4 linked regions of the Schizosaccharomyces pombe genome follow. The gene in region 1 interacts genetically with each later gene. Each region holds a gene or a part of one and is shown in the gene's direction. Other genes may lie near its edges. The genes, in order: ago1, dcr1, tfs1 and swi6.

The links.
Region 2: of ago1 (region 1) and dcr1, changing one suppresses a phenotype caused by changing the other (phenotypic suppression), as found in Schizosaccharomyces pombe (3 studies listed by BioGRID, with this or other methods).
Region 3: of ago1 (region 1) and tfs1, changing one suppresses a phenotype caused by changing the other (phenotypic suppression), as found in Schizosaccharomyces pombe (3 studies listed by BioGRID, with this or other methods).
Region 4: mutations in ago1 (region 1) and swi6 together harm fitness less than expected from each alone (positive genetic interaction), as found in Schizosaccharomyces pombe (3 studies listed by BioGRID, with this or other methods).

What each region holds. Positions count from the first base shown.
Region 1 is NC_003421.2:332,036-337,584, forward strand, and holds ago1 (argonaute), read left to right. Parts: upstream 1-2,043; 5' UTR 2,044-2,101; coding exon 2,102-2,230; intron 2,231-2,436; exon of another isoform or gene 2,437-2,601; coding exon 2,602-4,977; 3' UTR 4,978-5,035; downstream 5,036-5,549. Other genes in the region: mrps8 (mitochondrial 37S ribosomal protein uS8m), read right to left, coding at 1-448. UniProt on the Schizosaccharomyces pombe protein: Required for G1 arrest and mating in response to nitrogen starvation. Ago1 regulation of cytokinesis and cell cycle checkpoints occurs downstream of dcr1. Required, indirectly, for regulated hyperphosphorylation of cdc2.
Region 2 is NC_003421.2:1,504,516-1,512,518, reverse strand, and holds dcr1 (dicer), read left to right. Parts: upstream 1-1,961; 5' UTR 1,962-2,228; coding exon 2,229-6,353; 3' UTR 6,354-6,373; coding exon of another isoform or gene 6,374-7,457; 3' UTR 7,458-7,519; downstream 7,520-8,003. Other genes in the region: ER to Golgi ceramide transport protein, lipocalin superfamily Svf1, read left to right, coding at 1-936; septin Spn6, read right to left, coding at 6,374-7,457, 7,520-7,578. UniProt on the Schizosaccharomyces pombe protein: Required for G1 arrest and mating in response to nitrogen starvation. Ago1 regulation of cytokinesis and cell cycle checkpoints occurs downstream of dcr1. Required, indirectly, for regulated hyperphosphorylation of cdc2.
Region 3 is NC_003424.3:2,114,413-2,117,982, reverse strand, and holds tfs1 (general transcription elongation factor TFIIS), read left to right. Parts: upstream 1-1,526; 5' UTR 1,527-1,601; coding exon 1,602-1,670; intron 1,671-1,727; coding exon 1,728-1,790; intron 1,791-1,965; coding exon 1,966-2,645; intron 2,646-2,708; coding exon 2,709-2,733; intron 2,734-2,782; coding exon 2,783-2,827; 3' UTR 2,828-3,070; downstream 3,071-3,570. Other genes in the region: ATP-dependent 3'-5'-directionality DNA helicase fml2, read right to left, coding at 1-1,114; protein dsc3, read right to left, coding at 3,220-3,570. UniProt on the Schizosaccharomyces pombe protein: Necessary for efficient RNA polymerase II transcription elongation past template-encoded arresting sites.
Region 4 is NC_003424.3:1,701,838-1,705,694, reverse strand, and holds swi6 (heterochromatin (HP1) family chromodomain protein Swi6), read left to right. Parts: upstream 1-1,596; 5' UTR 1,597-1,693; coding exon 1,694-2,680; 3' UTR 2,681-3,289; downstream 3,290-3,857. Other genes in the region: Ino80 complex actin-like protein Arp8, read left to right, coding at 1-714.

The sequences.
Region 1 (5,549 bases):
GACATATAACGTTTCCTCCCAAATTATTCTTAATTGCATCGTCAATACTCATTATACCATGTTTAGTTTCTACAATTCCAACTTCTGCAGGCTCCAACCCATTCACAAAGCTAACTTTCCTTCCTTTGGCAAATTGCAACAACTCAGAAGGAGTCAAGTTCACCTTTCTACTAGGCTTTGATACTGCACGTATGTAGTGAAGAACCGGTTTTCCCTCAAAGTACTTTAAACCCAACCATAGACGGCGGGTCGCTACATTTTGCCTAGTGGTGATTGTGGGTAAAGCATCGGGTCCATGAATATCTCCGCGTTGAATCGAGCTTAAAAATCCTTGATGATACAAAACAGCACATAACTCGAGCACACTGTTACAGTTAGGAACGCTTGCTAACGACTTGCGAGCGCGAAATGAATTTTGCAAATGCGAAAAAACATAATGCAATTGCATTTCGACTTTTTTAACACAATCCTAATCTTTTATAAGCAGTCCAACAATAAAAGCCTTTTTTTTCTATACAGAATGGTGTTTTGAGGAAAGAAAAGAGGTATGAATGCAGTTTAGCTAGTCACTTCCAAATACCTCTCTCTGTACTGGAAGAATAGTAAGTAGTGAACGGTGTAGCTAGTGTTACACACTATTAGCAAGTTAATGGACATTGCAGTAATCACTGGATAGTAGTATATTAACGACACGATACTAAAGTTCACAATAAATCACTATATAATAAACTAAAAGCACCGGTTTACTATGTTTGGAAAACAAGGCGCAAAATTGCAAAACCAACGGTTATTACGGCAAAAGCCGTCTACCAAATGTTAGAGATTTACTTTGTACAGAATAAAATATGGATCTAAATCGCTGTGTCAATCTGTTAATATTATAGCATTCAAATTACCATGAAACCCACAAAGTTGTCAGAAGTGGGAAGCGAATTTTTGTGCGTTTAGTAGTTCCAAAATCCTCGAAAGGTATTCGCAAATGTAATAATCGAAAAAATTATAATAAGCAGTGTTCAAAAAAACAAGCGGTACAACAGCGAACGCCTGTAAAATATAGGGATGTAAAAAAGCATTTGAATACAATGTAAATTCACAATTGTATAGGATTATAAAAATTTTTTATAAAATAATGGCATAACGAATTCTTTACTGATATTTTAATTACAGAAAAGAAAACGTGAATTGAAAACAAAAGCCTAACAGTATGGAGAACGATTTATAATGCTTCTTTATGTGGCCGATCGTCCAGAAATTACTGATTTACTCAGTATAATATATTGATTTAATTAAGTTTCGCTTCTTAAAAAGGTTGTTAGTTTCGGTAAGCTGTTTAACGAGTATTACACAAAGCACAAGGCATTTTAATTTCATAAAAAAATGTCCGTTTTAATTTGAAAGACGTTCGAAATCAACACTTTTCAAAAATCAGTGCAATTACCGAAATCATTTACTTGAAAGTTGCCAGATTAATATTCTCAAAAGCAGGTTGTAAAAATGTATTATAACTATAAAGAGGATTTCAAGCAAGCAAATATAACAAGAAAAAGAAAACAAGTAGTAATCATTGATTTTGAACCTCCCGGTATTGTTAATATAGAACTAGTAAACAAATAGTAATTCAATGTACTATAATTTTCGTCAATGGTTACAAATAACAATTGGGTTCACTTTTATTGAATCACAACCACGATATAAAGAAAGAAGGGTTAAAACTCAAAAATCCGTCGATTTGGAACCTTTAAAAAAACATAAACCTATACAAAATTATGCGGTAATTTAAGAAAAGCTGTTAAAGATAAGCTTATATTTCTTATGTTCAGAAATTAAATAAGACTTATGTTGCGTTTGCGTGCTCAGAGAAGTATAGAAATAGACCTTAGTATATAGAAAATTCGAATGTATTAAGCATGTAAATAACAAAGTGATAAATAAAATATTTTCTTGATAGTTTTTTGATTTAATATAGTTTATAACTCAAGTAGGTTTTATATACAAGACAACTATGATGAGTCCTAATCTAGGGTTTGGTATATATAAGCTTCCAACCGCCAAAGCGAATTGTCTTCAGCCAACTCGTCCTTTATGATTCAGAGTGAGTAGGATGTCGTATAAACCAAGCTCAGAAATAGCTTTACGTCCCGGTTATGGAGGGTTGGGCAAGCAGATTACTTTGAAAGCTAACTTTTTTCAAATCATTTCTTTACCTAACGAGACTATCAACCAGTATCATGTAAGTTCCTAGAAATCGCACATTTTTATGGAATTAGAGCACTGTAAAGGAAATTTACACATTTAAAGTAAAAGCATAACAGAACACGTGGCCTTTCTTGTCTGAAATATAAATATAAATACAGAAATAAATCGTGCAAGTGTTACTGGAATTGTTTAAAGGTACTTGTTAGCTTCATTCGTTATTCGACTTTACTTTACTATACCTGGTTTATTTTCTCACTTTCTTTTAATGTTCTGTTGTTTACTTTGCCTGCTACATCATTTTGTATCTGTCTTGCATTGCACGATTCTTTTCTTTTGTATTTCATCTCTTCCTCAAATTTTGTACATTAACGTAGAATTGCATCAAATTAACGCCTTTTGTTGTAGGTCATAGTAGGTGATGGTTCACGTGTCCCACGAAAGCAATCCCAGTTGATTTGGAATTCTAAAGAAGTTAAACAGTATTTTGGATCTTCCTGGATGAATTCTGTTTATGATGGGCGAAGCATGTGTTGGTCTAAAGGTGATATTGCTGATGGCACCATCAAGGTAAACATAGGCAGTGAGTCGCACCCTCGAGAAATTGAATTCTCTATTCAAAAATCATCTAAAATTAATTTGCATACTCTTAGCCAGTTTGTAAACTCAAAGTATTCTTCGGATCCGCAAGTTCTAAGCAGTATAATGTTTCTGGATTTGCTGTTAAAGAAGAAACCATCTGAGACTTTGTTTGGCTTCATGCATTCTTTTTTTACAGGTGAAAACGGAGTTTCACTTGGAGGTGGAGTAGAGGCTTGGAAAGGGTTTTACCAGTCTATACGACCGAATCAGGGTTTCATGTCTGTTAATGTAGATATATCTTCGAGTGCATTTTGGCGTAATGATTCTTTACTTCAGATCCTTATGGAATACACAGATTGCTCGAACGTTAGAGACTTAACACGTTTTGACCTAAAACGTCTTTCCCGCAAGTTTCGGTTTCTAAAGGTGACCTGTCAGCATCGCAATAATGTCGGTACTGACCTGGCGAATAGAGTTTATTCCATCGAGGGATTTTCCTCAAAAAGTGCCAGTGATAGCTTTTTTGTTCGCCGTCTTAATGGTGAAGAGCAAAAAATCTCTGTAGCTGAATACTTTCTTGAAAATCACAATGTTCGTTTGCAATATCCTAACCTACCTTGCATATTAGTAAAGAACGGGGCGATGCTTCCTATTGAATTCTGTTTTGTTGTAAAAGGTCAGAGATATACTGCAAAACTGAATAGTGATCAAACTGCCAACATGATCCGTTTTGCGGTCCAACGACCTTTCGAACGTGTCCAGCAAATCGATGATTTTGTCCATCAGATGGATTGGGATACAGATCCCTACCTAACCCAATATGGTATGAAAATTCAGAAAAAGATGCTCGAAGTTCCAGCTCGTGTTTTAGAAACTCCTTCTATTCGTTACGGAGGAGATTGCATTGAGCGTCCCGTTAGTGGACGTTGGAATTTACGTGGTAAACGGTTCCTTGATCCGCCGAGGGCTCCTATTAGATCTTGGGCTGTAATGTGTTTTACTTCAACGCGTAGACTCCCTATGAGGGGTATTGAAAATTTCCTGCAAACATATGTACAAACACTCACTTCGTTGGGAATTAATTTTGTTATGAAAAAACCTCCAGTTTTGTATGCAGATATTAGAGGGAGTGTTGAAGAACTATGTATAACGTTATATAAAAAAGCTGAACAGGTTGGTAATGCTCCTCCTGACTATCTCTTTTTTATTTTGGATAAAAATTCGCCTGAACCATATGGTTCCATTAAACGTGTTTGCAATACTATGTTAGGGGTTCCTTCTCAATGTGCTATTAGCAAACATATTTTACAAAGCAAGCCCCAATACTGTGCAAACTTAGGCATGAAGATTAATGTCAAGGTTGGAGGAATTAATTGCTCGTTGATACCCAAATCCAACCCTTTGGGAAATGTTCCTACTCTTATTCTTGGTGGAGATGTTTATCACCCTGGGGTTGGTGCAACAGGTGTTTCGATTGCTTCAATTGTGGCATCGGTAGACCTAAATGGCTGCAAGTATACGGCTGTTTCACGTTCCCAACCTCGTCATCAAGAAGTGATTGAAGGAATGAAGGATATCGTGGTATATCTATTGCAAGGGTTTAGGGCAATGACTAAACAACAACCACAACGTATTATCTATTTCCGTGACGGTACCTCGGAAGGACAATTTTTATCAGTAATAAACGATGAGCTTTCTCAGATTAAAGAAGCGTGTCATAGTCTATCACCAAAATACAATCCAAAGATTCTAGTATGCACAACGCAGAAGAGACATCACGCTCGTTTCTTCATTAAGAACAAATCCGACGGAGATAGAAATGGAAATCCCCTCCCTGGTACAATTATTGAAAAGCATGTTACTCACCCCTATCAGTACGATTTTTACCTTATATCCCACCCATCTCTGCAAGGCGTTTCGGTCCCAGTTCACTACACGGTTTTGCACGACGAAATTCAGATGCCACCGGACCAATTCCAAACACTGTGTTATAATCTTTGTTATGTTTATGCAAGAGCAACAAGTGCTGTTTCCTTGGTTCCACCTGTTTATTATGCGCATTTGGTTAGTAACTTAGCCCGTTATCAAGACGTGACAGCCGATGATACTTTTGTTGAGACATCAGAAGCATCAATGGATCAAGAAGTAAAGCCGCTTTTAGCTCTATCAAGTAAATTGAAAACAAAGATGTGGTATATGTAATGTTTGATGGATTGCATGCAATAAGTAATGAAATAGATATACGATTGACTACTGGATTGCCCACAACTTTTACTTCCTTATTAAATCTGCTTCTGTTTTTATTTTGCTTTATATTATTGTAATTTTCTTTAATCATTTAATGTTAGTTTTTTTATGCTCTATCCACTGTTGATAGCTTGACCATGTTCCAACGATCAACAAATGTTGATAACGATAATACTAATGACATTCACTTAACCCAAAGCCCGAACTTTATGTAAGTGTCACGCCAATATAGAAATACAGATAAACTAAATGATACTTAAGGATCTCAGAAGAAGTGATTAAAATCGATAAATTCCATGCACAATGGTTGAACAACCAATTTACCTATTTGTCTAATTCAGATTCATCTAGCTTTTTTATTAAGAAAAAACATCATTCAAAGCAAAATCATTCAAATTTGAAAACAGCCTGTTTGAAGAGAATCAGAATTTCTAATTTTTTAGAGTATTTGGGTTAAGTTCAAGAACCAAACATTGCATACTGTGTTAAGATTTCGTTTAGAGGAGCAAAAACAAGTCAATAATGAT
Region 2 (8,003 bases), 1.2 Mb from region 1:
TATATGTGCTTTGTTCAATTGATACATTCCAACTTGGGTTCTTGGACAACCACCGCTCAATCTACGTGTCGCATTTTCGATTTGAAGCATCCTGAAAACGATTTGTGGACTTCTACCAACATGGATCAATTTAGCTTTGAAAATGACAAAACCTCCTTTGTCGCCAAAAATTGCTCTGTCGTGTTGGAAGACCAAAAGCGTTACCGAATTCGTGCCTCCATCAACATGGACTCCATCATCGATATAACTGTCCATCAAGACGCTCCTCCTTTTAAAATCGGTGAAGATGGAAATTCTACTTATGGAACAGATCCTAGTAAGCCCTGGGCTTCCATGAAGCATACCTTTTGGCCTCGCACTCGTGTTGAAGGTAGCATCGTTGCAAGGGGTAGAGTTGTGGATGTCACTGGTCCCGGCATGTTTGTTCATGCACTCCAAAATGGCAAACCCCACCATCTTGCTTCATCTTGGGAGTTTGCCCTCTTGCAGCATAAAAAGTTTACCGCCATCATGATGCAGTTCAAGACACCCCCTAGCTATGGTTCTACTATTGTCAATATTGGTGGTATCGCTATGAAAGACAAAATTATTAGTGCAACTGTCGATAATACTATTGAGCACGTTGAGACCACACTCGATCCCGATACGGAATGGCATGAACCCACTCGCATTTCCTACGAATGGGACGGAAAGGATGCTGAAACATACACCGAAGATATTCATCTTTCAGTCGATGCTCCTTTGGGAAGACGTCTTCAACGCATCGACGTTCTTGCCGAGATACCATCTTGGCTTAAGGGTTTCGTCCATGGAGTCTCTGGAACGAAACCTTTCATCTACCAATATTTCTCACCTGTCAAATTTACACTGAAGATGGGTGACGAGGTTATTGAAGATGAAGCCACGCTTTTTAATGAGACTACTTTTATTTCATAAGCATCTTTTAACAAAAATATTCAAGCATAAATAATTCGATGCATTTTGGGCTTAAACAAAGAGTGAACGTGCATCCATCTTTTTTTCAGAGCTTTTCTATATTAAACTCTCTGGTTTTGTATTCTTTTTTTCCTTTTTTTTGTCCTGTTGTTTTTAATTTCGTGTCTTCGAATTTTTTTTTCATACTATTTTTCGTTTTATTAAAATAACTTCATATAGACTTATCACTTATACTCTGAACTTGATAGTTGTGCTGCTCTCATATTGAATATGATTCTTGTTAATGGTCTTGTGCTACAAGCTCTGAAATTCATTCGTTCTCTTGTTTGTGTACTAAATCGATCTTGTCATCCTAATACCTATACTGATGGACATGGGCAAGGCATCTGGCAAAATTGTGCATTCGCTTATGTTTATTGAAAGACTGCAGTCTGTGTAAACGAGCGAGAATGTTTTAAAATTTTTTAAAAATTTGAATACTTTTCATTTTAGAGACTTCAAATAATATTGTTTTCATCATTAAGTGGATACTAATTAGCAACTTCTCAACTTCTATTTTATTTAAAAAACTAATTCATTGTAAATGTTGTATTGGTTTTCTACGAAAGCAGTTTTTCTATTATTGATAATTTCGCTTTTACCACTTTATAATAAAAAAGTATTGTATGTTTAATGTTTTCTAATATTTTTTTAATAAGTTTTCCTATGTTCCGATAAGAGCAGGCAGTGAACGCGTAAACAGATATATATGTATGTATTTATTATTAAAATATTATGTAAATAATTCTTAAAAAACCGAATCATTCTAGCATAAAGCATTGGAAACCAGTAATTCAACGTAACTGAATTTCACGGATTTACAAGCAAGTCGTACAGTCCTTTCTTCATTCAATAATATTGATTTAATAATAATATGTATATGCAATTTTCCTTTTTTTTTTTTTTTTTTTTTTAAACATTTTAAAATAAAGCATAGGCGTTTAATCATTTTTTATTAAAGTGCGTAACTTATGTTGTAAAAAACTACCACCTACTTTTCTCTTAAAACACCAGAATCTATAAGTGTAATGATTCCCCTTAACAACGAATTTAGAAGCTATCAATAGTATTGCGTCTGTTTTTATCAATCTCACAAACAATTATAGGAAGTATTCTGCTCGTGTGATTGTTCTTTTTCTTCTGGTAAAGATGAACATATGCATGTTTATTTGAATAGCTTAGGATTCATTATTTTTTAAGAGACAAATTTCTCGTCAATTGAATGAAACCTTCCGCCTTTATTTTCTTTTTGAATGGATATTTCAAGTTTTCTACTTCCTCAACTTTTACGTAAATATCAACAAGATGTGTATAATATCGCGAGCAAGCAAAATACTTTACTTGTTATGAGAACGGGCGCTGGTAAGACATTACTTGCTGTGAAGTTGATAAAACAAAAGCTCGAGGAGCAAATTTTAATCCAAGAATCAAATCTTGAACATAAAAAAATATCAGTTTTTCTCGTCAACAAAGTCCCTTTGGTATTTCAACAAGCGGAATACATTCGATCTCAACTACCGGCTAAGGTTGGCATGTTTTATGGCGAATTATCTATAGAAATGAGCGAGCAGTTGTTGACTAATATTATATTGAAGTATAATGTGATTGTTATTACTGCAGATTTGTTCTATTTGTTTCTTGCAAGAGGTTTTCTTTCAATAAATGATTTGAATTTAATTATATTCGACGAATGTCATCATGCAATTGGAAATGATGCGTATGCTCGCATCATGAATGATTTTTATCACAGAGCCAAAGCAGTATTGTCAAAAAAACATTTCACCCTACCAAGAATTTTTGGTATGACTGCTTCACCATTCACTGGAAAAAAAGGAAACTTATACCATCGACTGTATCAATGGGAGCAATTATTTGATTCTAAAGCACACGTGGTTTCGGAAAACGAGCTAGCCGATTACTTCTGTCTTCCCGAAGAAAGCTATGTAATGTATTCCAATAAGTTGGTTGTGCCACCCTCGGATTCTATTATCAAGAAATGCGAGGAAACTCTTCAAGGATGCAAGTTAATTTCTCGGGCTGTTAAGACTGCTTTAGCAGAAACCATAGATATGGGTCTTTGGTTTGGGGAGCAAGTTTGGTTATATTTGGTTGATTTTGTGGAAACGAAAAGATTAAAAAAAAAGGCTTTAGGGAAGCAGTTGTCAGATGACGAGGAACTGGCAATTGACCGGTTAAAAATATTTGTTGAAGATTGGAAAAATAACAAATATTCAGACAATGGCCCTAGAATCCCTGTTTTTGATTCCACTGATGTTACTGATAAAGTCTTTAAACTCTTAGAATTGTTAAAGGCTACTTACCGCAAAAGTGATAGCGTTCGTACGGTTATTTTCGTTGAAAGAAAAGCTACGGCGTTTACTTTAAGTTTGTTTATGAAAACTCTTAATCTGCCTAACATCCGCGCTCATTCTTTTATAGGACATGGACCGTCCGATCAGGGTGAATTTTCTATGACATTCAGGAGGCAAAAAGATACCCTTCATAAGTTTAAGACTGGAAAATATAATGTTTTAATTGCTACTGCAGTTGCAGAAGAAGGTATCGATGTACCATCATGTAACTTAGTTATACGCTTCAATATTTGTCGGACTGTCACCCAGTATGTCCAATCTCGAGGTAGAGCGAGAGCAATGGCTTCAAAGTTTCTAATTTTTTTAAACACAGAAGAGTTGTTAATTCATGAACGCATTCTACACGAAGAAAAAAATCTTAAATTTGCCCTTTCAGAGCTCAGCAATTCGAATATTTTTGATTCATTGGTATGTGAGGAAAGAGAACGTGTGACTGATGATATCGTCTATGAAGTTGGCGAGACTGGTGCTTTACTCACAGGGTTGTATGCAGTTAGTCTGCTTTATAACTTTTGTAACACACTTTCAAGAGACGTATACACAAGATATTATCCCACTTTTACAGCTCAACCCTGTCTTTCAGGTTGGTATTGTTTTGAGGTAGAATTGCCAAAAGCCTGCAAAGTTCCAGCGGCTCAAGGATCTCCCGCTAAATCAATTAGGAAAGCCAAACAGAATGCTGCGTTCATCATGTGTTTGGATCTGATTCGTATGGGTCTTATAGACAAACATTTAAAACCCCTAGATTTTAGAAGAAAAATTGCCGACCTTGAAACTCTTGAGGAAGACGAGCTAAAAGATGAAGGTTATATCGAGACATATGAGCGCTATGTACCAAAAAGTTGGATGAAAGTTCCTGAAGATATTACACGTTGCTTCGTCTCTTTACTTTATACTGATGCTAATGAAGGAGACAATCATATATTCCATCCCTTAGTGTTTGTACAAGCTCATTCATTCCCCAAAATTGATAGCTTTATTCTTAATTCGACTGTTGGCCCCCGAGTTAAAATTGTTTTAGAAACGATTGAGGATAGTTTTAAGATCGATTCTCATCTGCTTGAGTTGTTAAAAAAATCAACTCGTTATCTACTTCAATTCGGTTTATCTACTTCTCTTGAGCAACAAATACCTACTCCTTACTGGCTTGCGCCTTTAAATTTGTCATGCACGGATTACCGGTTCTTAGAAAATCTGATAGATGTTGACACTATCCAAAATTTTTTTAAATTACCGGAACCTGTTCAAAATGTTACTGATTTGCAATCCGATACTGTATTATTAGTAAATCCACAGTCAATATATGAACAGTATGCTTTTGAGGGATTTGTCAATTCTGAATTTATGATTCCTGCTAAAAAGAAAGATAAGGCCCCTTCTGCCTTATGTAAGAAACTTCCTTTACGATTAAATTATTCACTTTGGGGCAATAGAGCTAAATCCATTCCCAAATCACAGCAAGTGCGCAGTTTTTATATCAATGACCTCTATATTCTCCCAGTCTCTAGACATTTGAAAAACAGCGCCTTGCTAATACCCTCCATACTGTACCATATTGAAAACTTATTGGTCGCCTCTTCTTTTATCGAACACTTTCGACTTGATTGTAAAATTGACACTGCTTGTCAGGCTTTAACATCTGCGGAATCACAATTGAATTTTGATTACGATCGTCTAGAGTTTTACGGAGACTGCTTTCTAAAATTGGGTGCTTCTATTACAGTTTTTTTGAAATTTCCTGATACTCAAGAGTACCAACTGCATTTTAATCGAAAGAAAATTATTAGCAACTGTAATTTGTATAAAGTAGCAATAGATTGTGAGTTGCCGAAGTATGCTCTCTCGACTCCCTTGGAAATCCGTCATTGGTGTCCATATGGTTTTCAGAAAAGCACATCGGATAAGTGCCGCTACGCCGTTTTACAGAAATTATCGGTTAAGAGGATAGCAGATATGGTCGAAGCTAGTATCGGTGCATGTCTTTTAGACAGTGGACTTGACTCAGCACTCAAGATCTGTAAATCTTTAAGCGTTGGTCTGCTGGATATCAGCAATTGGGATGAGTGGAACAATTATTTTGATTTAAATACATATGCGGATTCACTGAGAAATGTTCAATTCCCTTACTCCTCGTATATAGAGGAAACTATTGGATATTCATTTAAAAACAAGAAACTACTCCATTTGGCATTTATTCATCCTTCCATGATGTCTCAGCAAGGTATTTACGAAAACTATCAACAGTTGGAGTTTTTGGGTGATGCTGTATTGGATTACATTATCGTACAATACCTTTATAAAAAGTATCCTAACGCAACTTCTGGCGAATTAACTGATTACAAATCTTTTTATGTGTGTAACAAGAGTCTATCATACATTGGCTTTGTTTTGAATTTGCACAAATATATCCAACATGAAAGCGCAGCAATGTGTGATGCAATATTTGAATATCAAGAATTAATTGAAGCGTTCAGGGAGACTGCTTCAGAGAATCCGTGGTTCTGGTTTGAAATTGATTCACCAAAGTTCATTTCAGATACTTTAGAAGCTATGATATGTGCCATTTTTTTGGATTCTGGGTTTAGTTTACAATCTCTACAATTCGTTTTACCTCTTTTTCTTAATTCGTTAGGGGATGCGACACATACTAAGGCTAAAGGAGATATTGAACACAAGGTATACCAATTACTGAAAGATCAGGGATGTGAAGACTTCGGAACAAAGTGTGTCATCGAGGAGGTGAAATCCAGTCACAAAACATTGTTAAATACTGAACTCCATTTAACAAAGTATTATGGGTTTTCATTCTTCCGCCACGGGAATATTGTTGCTTACGGCAAATCCCGTAAAGTTGCCAATGCAAAGTATATTATGAAACAAAGACTTCTCAAATTGTTAGAGGATAAGTCTAACTTACTTTTGTATTCTTGTAATTGCAAATTTAGTAAGAAAAAGCCATCAGATGAGCAAATAAAAGGAGATGGAAAAGTTAAAAGTTTGACTTGAGACTTGAAATATACAGTATTTCATTTTTTATGACCGCGGCCCTTGTAACTTTTCAAACTTTCAATTTGGGTCTCCAAAGCACGGATCCTTTCGTGATATTCAGAAAGTTCCGAATTCAAAGCATCTCGAGTTTCAATCATTTTCTCTTCTTTGGCCTGAAAGAAGCTTTCAGTTTCATTAGTCATTTGTGTTATCTTTTGTTGAATCGCACGTTTCTCATTGTTCAAGCGTTCGTAATGCTCTTTTTTCAGCTTAGGAATGCCACTCTTTCGATTCGTAAGCTGCTCTCTACGATATCGTTCATAGATGTTGGTTTCAGTTGTATTTATAAGCTCGAGCATATGCCTATTAATTAGCAATTTCTTCAATTTTAAAAAATCACAATGTGTTTCTTCATATATTTCAGAGGTTCCCCATGGGTAACGACGCCCTTGCGATTTTTCCCCATCGTCTTTGCAAACTTCATTTACACTGGAAATGATAGCGTAAGGTAAGGATGAATCTAGTAATTCGGCAGTTTCGTAATCAGAATACTCTGTTGATGGATGGAAAACGTCGATTGATTGAGCTTCCAGGATCCTTCTAATTTTTTGCTTTATTTGTGTTAATTCGGGAGTTGTAAATGTATCTGCCTTTGCTATTACTGGCACAAGGTTTACATGGGTCGATAGCTCCTTCATAGCTAACACATCTAAAGGAAGCATTCCAAACGAAACTGGCGTAATAAAGTAGAGACAAACGTGGACTCTAGTGTCTTTCCTTGGTACACGGAGAGAGTTTTGATCATGAATTAGATACCTTTCGTGTTGTTCGTCTAAATATTCTGCAACCGTATTCCAGCAACTGGTATTGTCAATGAAATCACCGAACCCTGGGGTGTCGAGCACCGTAAGATTGATATGAAAACCATCTTCTTCAATTACGGCCTTATTCTTTTTAACTTCTAAGGTCTTTTTGGCTATGGTCTCCTTAGCCGTTTCATATGATTTTTCTGGTTGCAAAGAAGTAGCAAAAAGAGTATTGAAGAACGTTGTTTTTCCAGTACCTGAGGCTCCGCAAAGCATGATTGTTAAACCACATTCTTTTCTTTTTATTAAATTTTCTCTGTGGTATATTTGTTAATGAATGATTTATGAATTTATGACTAGATTGTAACGATAACATACCTTTTGGATGGTAGACTATCCAAATTTAATAATAATTGAAGGTTTTCAGTCAAAGACATCGTAAAAATTTATTTCTCGAACTATCTGTATTTTGCTCTTTAGTAGGTTCAGGTTTGTTTCAAACAGCGTTTATCAGCGAAATATAAACAAACAACCGAATGTCCAGTGATAAAAAGCACAGATAAATAAATAAATATGCCTCATCAAAAATTTTTAAATATACAAATTAAATTATCTACATAGAAGACTTTTAATTCTTTTTCACATCTTGTACCAAAATACTTTCATAATCCTGGTTTACCAGAGTTGAAACAAGAATACAAATAAAAACGATGCTCAAATTTACTAGCTCTTTAATCATTAGAAGAATAAACATTAATTTTTAAGACTAAATATGAACTTCTGTTGAATTAACTGCCTTGATCCAAAAAAAACACAAAACGTAAATTGTACTTTTTTTTATTTTTAAGACAGTCATATTCCA
Region 3 (3,570 bases), on another chromosome or scaffold:
TAGATTGTACATTTTTTGAACTAAAGGAATACTTTCGTAAAGAAACGAAAAGCGTATAAGCTTTTATATTAAGGCATTCACAATTGATAGGTATAAGTTTTTTTTGACGGAGAAAATTAAAATATGGCCGGTATAGGTTAGCAAAGTCCGATTTTAAAATATTCATTTCAGAGGAGATCGTGACCTTAATCAACTGAATCTTTTTATGAAAAACATATGAGCGAATATCTATACTTTCTTCGTTGCGAACAATGAGTTTGGAGATATGGAGGCAATCTACTACCTTTTGAACAGAGGCGGTAGAAGATCCTGGAGTTGCGGTTAAACCAAGGACTCGAAAATGACTATTAGATCTAAGCACTGCCCTCATAACCTGAGCATACGAATGGTTGCCAGTAGCTCTATGAGCTTCATCAAATATCAGGCAAATAATACTTTTGGCATCCAGTAAATGTTCCTTTAAATCATTCTGGAGTGTTTGTGGAGTCATGAAAAATACTCGTTTCGTATTGTATTCGAAAAGTCGACGATCCGGTGATACTTCACCGTTCAATTCAGCGGTAGCACCTGGTGACATTCCCGCTACATTGGAACAAGCAACTCTTTGTTGCAACAGTAATGGTTTTGTGGGGGCAAGAAATATTATTTTGCTTTCAGGAAACCAACGAAAATAGTTTAACATGACCACTGCCGCAATAAATGTCTTTCCCAACCCAGTAGGTAGAGCCAGTAATAAATTGTGGAATAATGCTTGCTCACAAAATTCCTTTTGATAATTTCTATACTGCTGAGTCTGTGGAAAAATCCAGTTTTGCATTGCATCAATATTTTTTGGAATGTCAATATTGTTTTCTAACTCAGTTATAACTTGAGGTTGAGAAGAAGGAACCCTACAGCCTCGCAAGTCTAGTTGAAACGTAGTATTTTCAACGTCTTGATTATGTTTTATACATTTCAAATTTGGTTGCCTTAAAGCAGGATTAGAATTCAACAAAGATCCTTCAACATTACAAAGCACTGAGGTAGGAACATTTCCTCGTTCTCCGTTCACCTCGATACTTGGCAGGTCTACTTCAGAGTCGGAATAGTCACTTGAGTCTCTCAGTACAATCATGAAACTAAATTTATGAAAACGAACGAACACATAGACCAAAGTAAGTTTCAAAAATAAACTGAATATCAAACTTTTAAATTCTTGAACATCAAGTTTCTTCAATTTGATCAAACAACATTATAATCTTTGCTTTTCATAAACAAAGCTGATAAAACAATTAACAATTGAGTAAGATCAAGTCAGCGGAGGAGCATGAAAATTTAACGTTGTAAAATAAACACGAGTACTAATGCGATAAACAGAAAACAGTTTGCAAACTTGAAAAAAAAACTGTCAAACTCAAGAATTCAACTAACAAAATCACGTTACGGGGTGTTGATATTCACATCAGCAACTATGGTGGTGAAGAAAAATCACAACGGTATTAGTAGACATGTGAGATGTAAAGCGCGTTATCCAAAATAAATCCTCTACCACCATAAGATTATTAATTTTGCAATCTGCTAACCAACAGCAGTGTTTACAGTATTCGAACTTAATTTGAATCATGGACTCTGCTGATATCCGATCTGCGAAAGCAGCTTTGGAAAAAGCTATTCAGGGAAAGAATATAGAGGTTTGTAATTTGTGCTATTGGGACTTACAGATGGTTTTGAAGCTAATATCAAGCTAGACTATAATTAACATTATGACACGTTTAAAAAATGAAGTAGTTGCTACCGAAGAATTACTTAAGGTAGGTTTATTACATGCAATATGGTAGTATTCTCGCACGGATTGTTGACAATATATTACATGAATTTTGCAAATTTCACTTAATAGAAATAACATCTTTCTTAAAATACGAATTCCACAAGAGTACCAACATTTGATGGAGAATCGGTATTCAAAATACTAACCAATGATGCTAGGAAACCCGGCTGGGATTAGTCGTTGGCAAGCTCAGATCTCATCCCAATGAGAAAGTTGGTGAGCAAGCTCGGGAAATTGTAAAAAAATGGAAAGCCGATGTTAGTAAAGGTCGTCCATTGAAAACCACAACTACAACTTCCTCCACGCCTTCTAAACATGCGGATGTAGGTTCTCAAGCTCAAAAACAAGTTCAAAAACAAAGCAGCAGTGGTCAGCGTACTTTTAAATCTGATAATGTGAACGTCAATGTGACTGATGACAAGATTCGCAACAACTGTATTGGATTAATGTACAATGCATTAGTCATAGATTCGGATGAATCTTCTTCATTAATAATAGCCAAAGCCAAAGAAATTGATGCGCAAGTACTTGCTAGAGCAGCAGGTAAAACTGGTTCTGAATATCGAAACAGAATGCGGTCCTTGTATATGAATCTTAAAGATAAAAATAACCCGAAACTTAGAGCATCAGTATTACGAAATGAAATTACTCCGCAAAGACTCAGTACCATGACTTCTGCCGAATTGGCTTCAGAAGACCGTCGCAAGGAAGATGCCAAGCTAGAACAAGAAAATTTATTCCATGCGCAAGGTGCTAAACCCCAAAAAGCTGTTACAGACCTTTTTACTTGTGGGAAGTGTAAGCAAAAAAAAGTTTCTTATTACCAAATGCAAACAAGGTATGTTATTTGTCATGATTTTAGTACTTTTTATCGCGTAAAATTTATTAACAATCCGTATAGATCTGCTGATGAGCCTATGACAACGGTAAGCATTAGTCTATTTGGGTAGAATATTTGGACTAATTTTTTTTTAGTTTTGTGAATGTACTGTTTGCGGAAATCGCTGGAAATTTTCTTAAATCTTGGGTCAGCCCATTTAGATACCGGTTGTAAAATAATCCTTCATATTTCTTCTTCTTTTTATTGTTTTAGAAGCACTCTCCTCTATTGTGTGTGTTTTTTTTTGTTTTAGGATCTGATTGGTATCTTTCATTCTAGCGATGAATATATGCATATTTTACTTTTGCACACTCAATACGACACTTTTACAGTTATCCTACTTTACACTTCTTAATAAATCCAAATGGTGTTTTAAACGTACATTTAATAAGTTAACGCTTGATCAAAGCGAATAGATCATAAAATTCGACATTATTAATCCTCAATTAAACTGTAGTCATAATTAACAAGTGCAACGAAAAGTGGAACGATTAATTGTATTGGACAAAAATTTTAACAAAAATGAACGGGTTTACCATCGATACGAGTGTAATAAGCCGTATGCAAAATTGCAAATAATTCCGACAAGAATGGATAATTGCATTCTCAGAGAGAACATTGTCCTTTCCCAAAGAAAATAACAAGCAATAGCTCCTCCAAAAAAGCCTATTAATACTCCAGCCAACAAGGTTTCATATGACATGTCAAGTTCGTCGGCAGAAGAGTTTTGTCCTCCATTGTCAATCCAATCGTCTTCTGCCTCTCTGATAGCGTCTTCCGTGAGTGAATCCAAATTAGTTCCTCGTAAGCGATGAAATTGGCTACGCAAATTATTGACCTCGGTTTCTGTAAAACCAGCTTCACGTAAACGATCAAAACCACG
Region 4 (3,857 bases), on another chromosome or scaffold:
CCTGATAAAGGGACTAGAAAATTTACATTTAAAAGCCTTGACGAAACAATGCTTGCACCTCTTGGATTCTTTCGCCCTGACATTTTTGAAAATGAAAATAAACTTCATGATCGGTATACTTTGTTTCCAGTGCCGGTCGATGTATATGACAACCAACCGAATAATCCCGAATCACTTGCCCAAACCACTTTATTGCAAATATCTACGCCGATATCCAACATCAAAGCTAATGGAAAAGATGATGAAGAGAAAAAAGAAGAAAGTGATTTGGTGACACCTTCGGTAAAATTCAAGCCTCCACGGGTAGTATATTGTGGCTCACTTGCTGCTCCAGAAATAAAGAATGAGAAACTGATATATCCTTTGGATGATGCAATCAACCAGAGTATATTTAGTGCATGTGATGGAAATTTAAGTGATGAGAAGGCAAAAAATCTTTACTCAAGCATTTTGATCGTCGGTGGAGCTGGTCAGTTCCCGGGCTTTGCTCATTTACTGGAAGAGCGTATCCATTCCAAGCGTGCCAACATCCCTACTATTTCGGTAATTCCTCCACCAAGAAGTATGGATGCTCAATTTGTTGCCTGGAAGGGTGCTTGTATATACAATCGCATTCGGATCGTATCGGAGCTGTGGATAAAAAACAGCGATTGGAAAATGTTAGGTAGCCGTGTCTTGCAATACAAGACATTGGGTTATTTTTGGACTGGCTAAACCATATGTTTATGCTTTCATATTCGTTACTAATTTTTTAATGCAACACCATATGTTTTTGCTATTTTTCATTATTTTTAGATGTTAATAAACCATGGTCTACAAAAACAGTACAGATGCCTCTAAGTTCATGTTTTTTGAAATTTTGAAGATACTTCATCAACTACTCATTCTTTTTGATATTTGAGTGCTCAAATAAGTTGAATTTATCATAATTTCCCTAAGTACGTATTTCTTTAAACGTACCATTTTGTATTTAAGTAATCTTTACATTCCAAAAATTGTAGTATCATTGTAAAAAAATTGAAAAAATAAACTCCCAAGGCGAGACTCGAACTCGCAACCTTCTGATTACCATCATAAGAGTCAGACGCTCTAAACCGATTGAGCCACTCGGGACTTCGTTGACGACTTAAGTTATTCAGTGTAATATGTAGTGCAAAAAGAATCCTCATAAGAATATATATTTTGTTGTTTGACGATGATTGCCTACGAAATTTAAAAGGTGGAATTGTTTTCTAGTTAAGATTGTTTATCAATCTTGAGAGACTCAGCATTGCTTTAGAAAACAAATCAGCATGCCAACCGTAACAGCCAAATATCTTGTTACTCGCAGCATTACTTAAAATGTTAATTTTATTTCTAACGGTAATATTTGTTCAATATTTTCGTATTTCGCATTAAGTAAATCACTAGGAAATTGAGATGCTTTTGAAATAATGATTATTACTGATAGTGATCTAAGCAAAATTAGGCGTCGTTAATCAACTTTTAGACAACGATTAATACAGTACTTCTATGCAATATTTTAATAAACGAACTCTATGTGATGCTAGCCATTCTGTACACCATGAAAAGCAAGCCAAACATGTCTCGCTAAACGAGCAAACAACCTGTAAAGACCAACGCGAAATTGATGTTTAGTACTTTTTAAAATATTCTGAAATCTCGTTTATTTTCATATTAAGACAAGTGAAAAATGAAGAAAGGAGGTGTTCGATCTTATCGGCGCTCCTCTACTTCAAAACGATCAGTTATTGACGACGATTCGGAACCAGAGTTACCAAGCATGACAAAGGAGGCTATTGCTTCTCATAAAGCAGACTCTGGGTCGTCGGACAATGAAGTTGAAAGCGATCATGAAAGTAAATCTTCGTCGAAGAAATTGAAAGAAAATGCCAAAGAAGAAGAAGGAGGAGAAGAAGAAGAAGAGGATGAATATGTTGTAGAAAAGGTTTTAAAACACCGTATGGCGAGAAAAGGTGGAGGCTATGAATACCTTTTGAAATGGGAAGGTTATGACGATCCCAGTGATAATACATGGAGTTCAGAAGCCGATTGTAGCGGTTGCAAACAGTTGATAGAAGCATATTGGAATGAACATGGAGGAAGACCAGAACCTTCTAAAAGAAAGAGGACTGCAAGACCTAAAAAGCCCGAAGCAAAGGAGCCTTCACCAAAGTCTCGTAAAACTGATGAAGATAAACACGACAAAGATTCCAATGAAAAGATTGAAGATGTGAATGAGAAAACTATTAAATTCGCCGATAAATCGCAAGAGGAATTTAATGAGAACGGCCCACCTTCTGGTCAGCCGAATGGTCACATTGAATCTGACAATGAGTCTAAATCTCCTTCACAAAAAGAATCGAATGAAAGTGAGGATATTCAAATAGCAGAGACCCCTAGCAATGTTACTCCGAAAAAGAAGCCTAGTCCGGAAGTTCCCAAACTTCCGGACAACAGAGAGCTGACGGTTAAACAAGTAGAAAACTATGATTCTTGGGAAGACTTGGTATCTAGCATCGATACAATTGAACGAAAAGATGATGGAACCTTGGAAATTTATCTGACTTGGAAGAACGGTGCAATATCTCATCATCCTAGTACTATCACCAATAAAAAATGTCCTCAGAAGATGCTTCAATTTTATGAAAGCCACTTAACGTTCCGTGAAAATGAATAATTTTTTTGTGTTCCTTTAAAAAATTCTTTTTCTTTTGTTTATAAATTAGATTTCGCTTTTTTCTGACGTTATTGCTTTTATCAAGTCCCGTGTCGTAGTATGAGTTCTTGTTCTCTTACTCGAAAAATGCATCTAACATTATACTTATACAAATTTTTGTTAGGCGCTTAACATCACATTCTAGTTTATGAACGCCTTTGTTTTCTTTCACATTGAATTGATTACGAGTGACTTGAGAAATGTAAAATACCTTTTGTCGTTATGGTTTGACATTCTAAATAACCTAAGGTTTGACATTCTAGATAACCTAATTTCTTTAATTTTACCATTTATTAATTTAGCATGCACTGCTCTTCATGCATTCAAAATCGTGTCTAATAATAACGTAATTTTACTCGTTAAATAAAGAATTTATGCATGCAAAATCGTTACTCATAAACCTCAGCAGATAAATTTGTTAACAAAAATGAGGGTGCATGAATATCTGCCTTCTCCGTTTCTTCTGTTCCATATGCTTCTAAGTTTGGGTTACCAACTGAACTCAAAGATAGGGTCAAGATGTAGTGTATCAAGTTTGAATCTTTATCAAGTACTATGTTGCCTCTTGAGAAATTCGTTTGAGAATAGCTGTATAGCTAAAGATAAATAAGGGTTTGAATGTAATTGTTGCTATGTAAACACAGTTGTAATTATAGATTTTTAATTGTTGCTGCTTTTGTACATTAGCAAAAAAAAATACAAGCAAGTTATGATGAAGAAGTCTGGTTATGCTATTTTTCTAAGAAGCTGGGATAAATTCATATTTTGTTCCTCTTTTTTTTTTTTTTTAAATATGTTTATGTCAGATTGGCAGATTTACCATATAAACACATAATGGCAAATTATGGCAAACTTTGCAAATGAACATGTATTTATCGAATTTCCTTGTTATCTTTTTTTATTGCTAGCAACACATGAAGACATCAGTCCCCTCTCGGCAATACATATTATCGATTGACACTACTGTATGCTGAGACTGAACAACAGAGTTCTCACTTGGACTTTTTGCTTGCTCCTCAAAGACTTTTAAAAAATTAAATAATAACTATTATATTTCTAACTGTTTTTAATCTAATTATTAGTCACAAGTTGCGCTTTTGTTATATATATGACTTCTATTCAAATTGTGTATACCTCT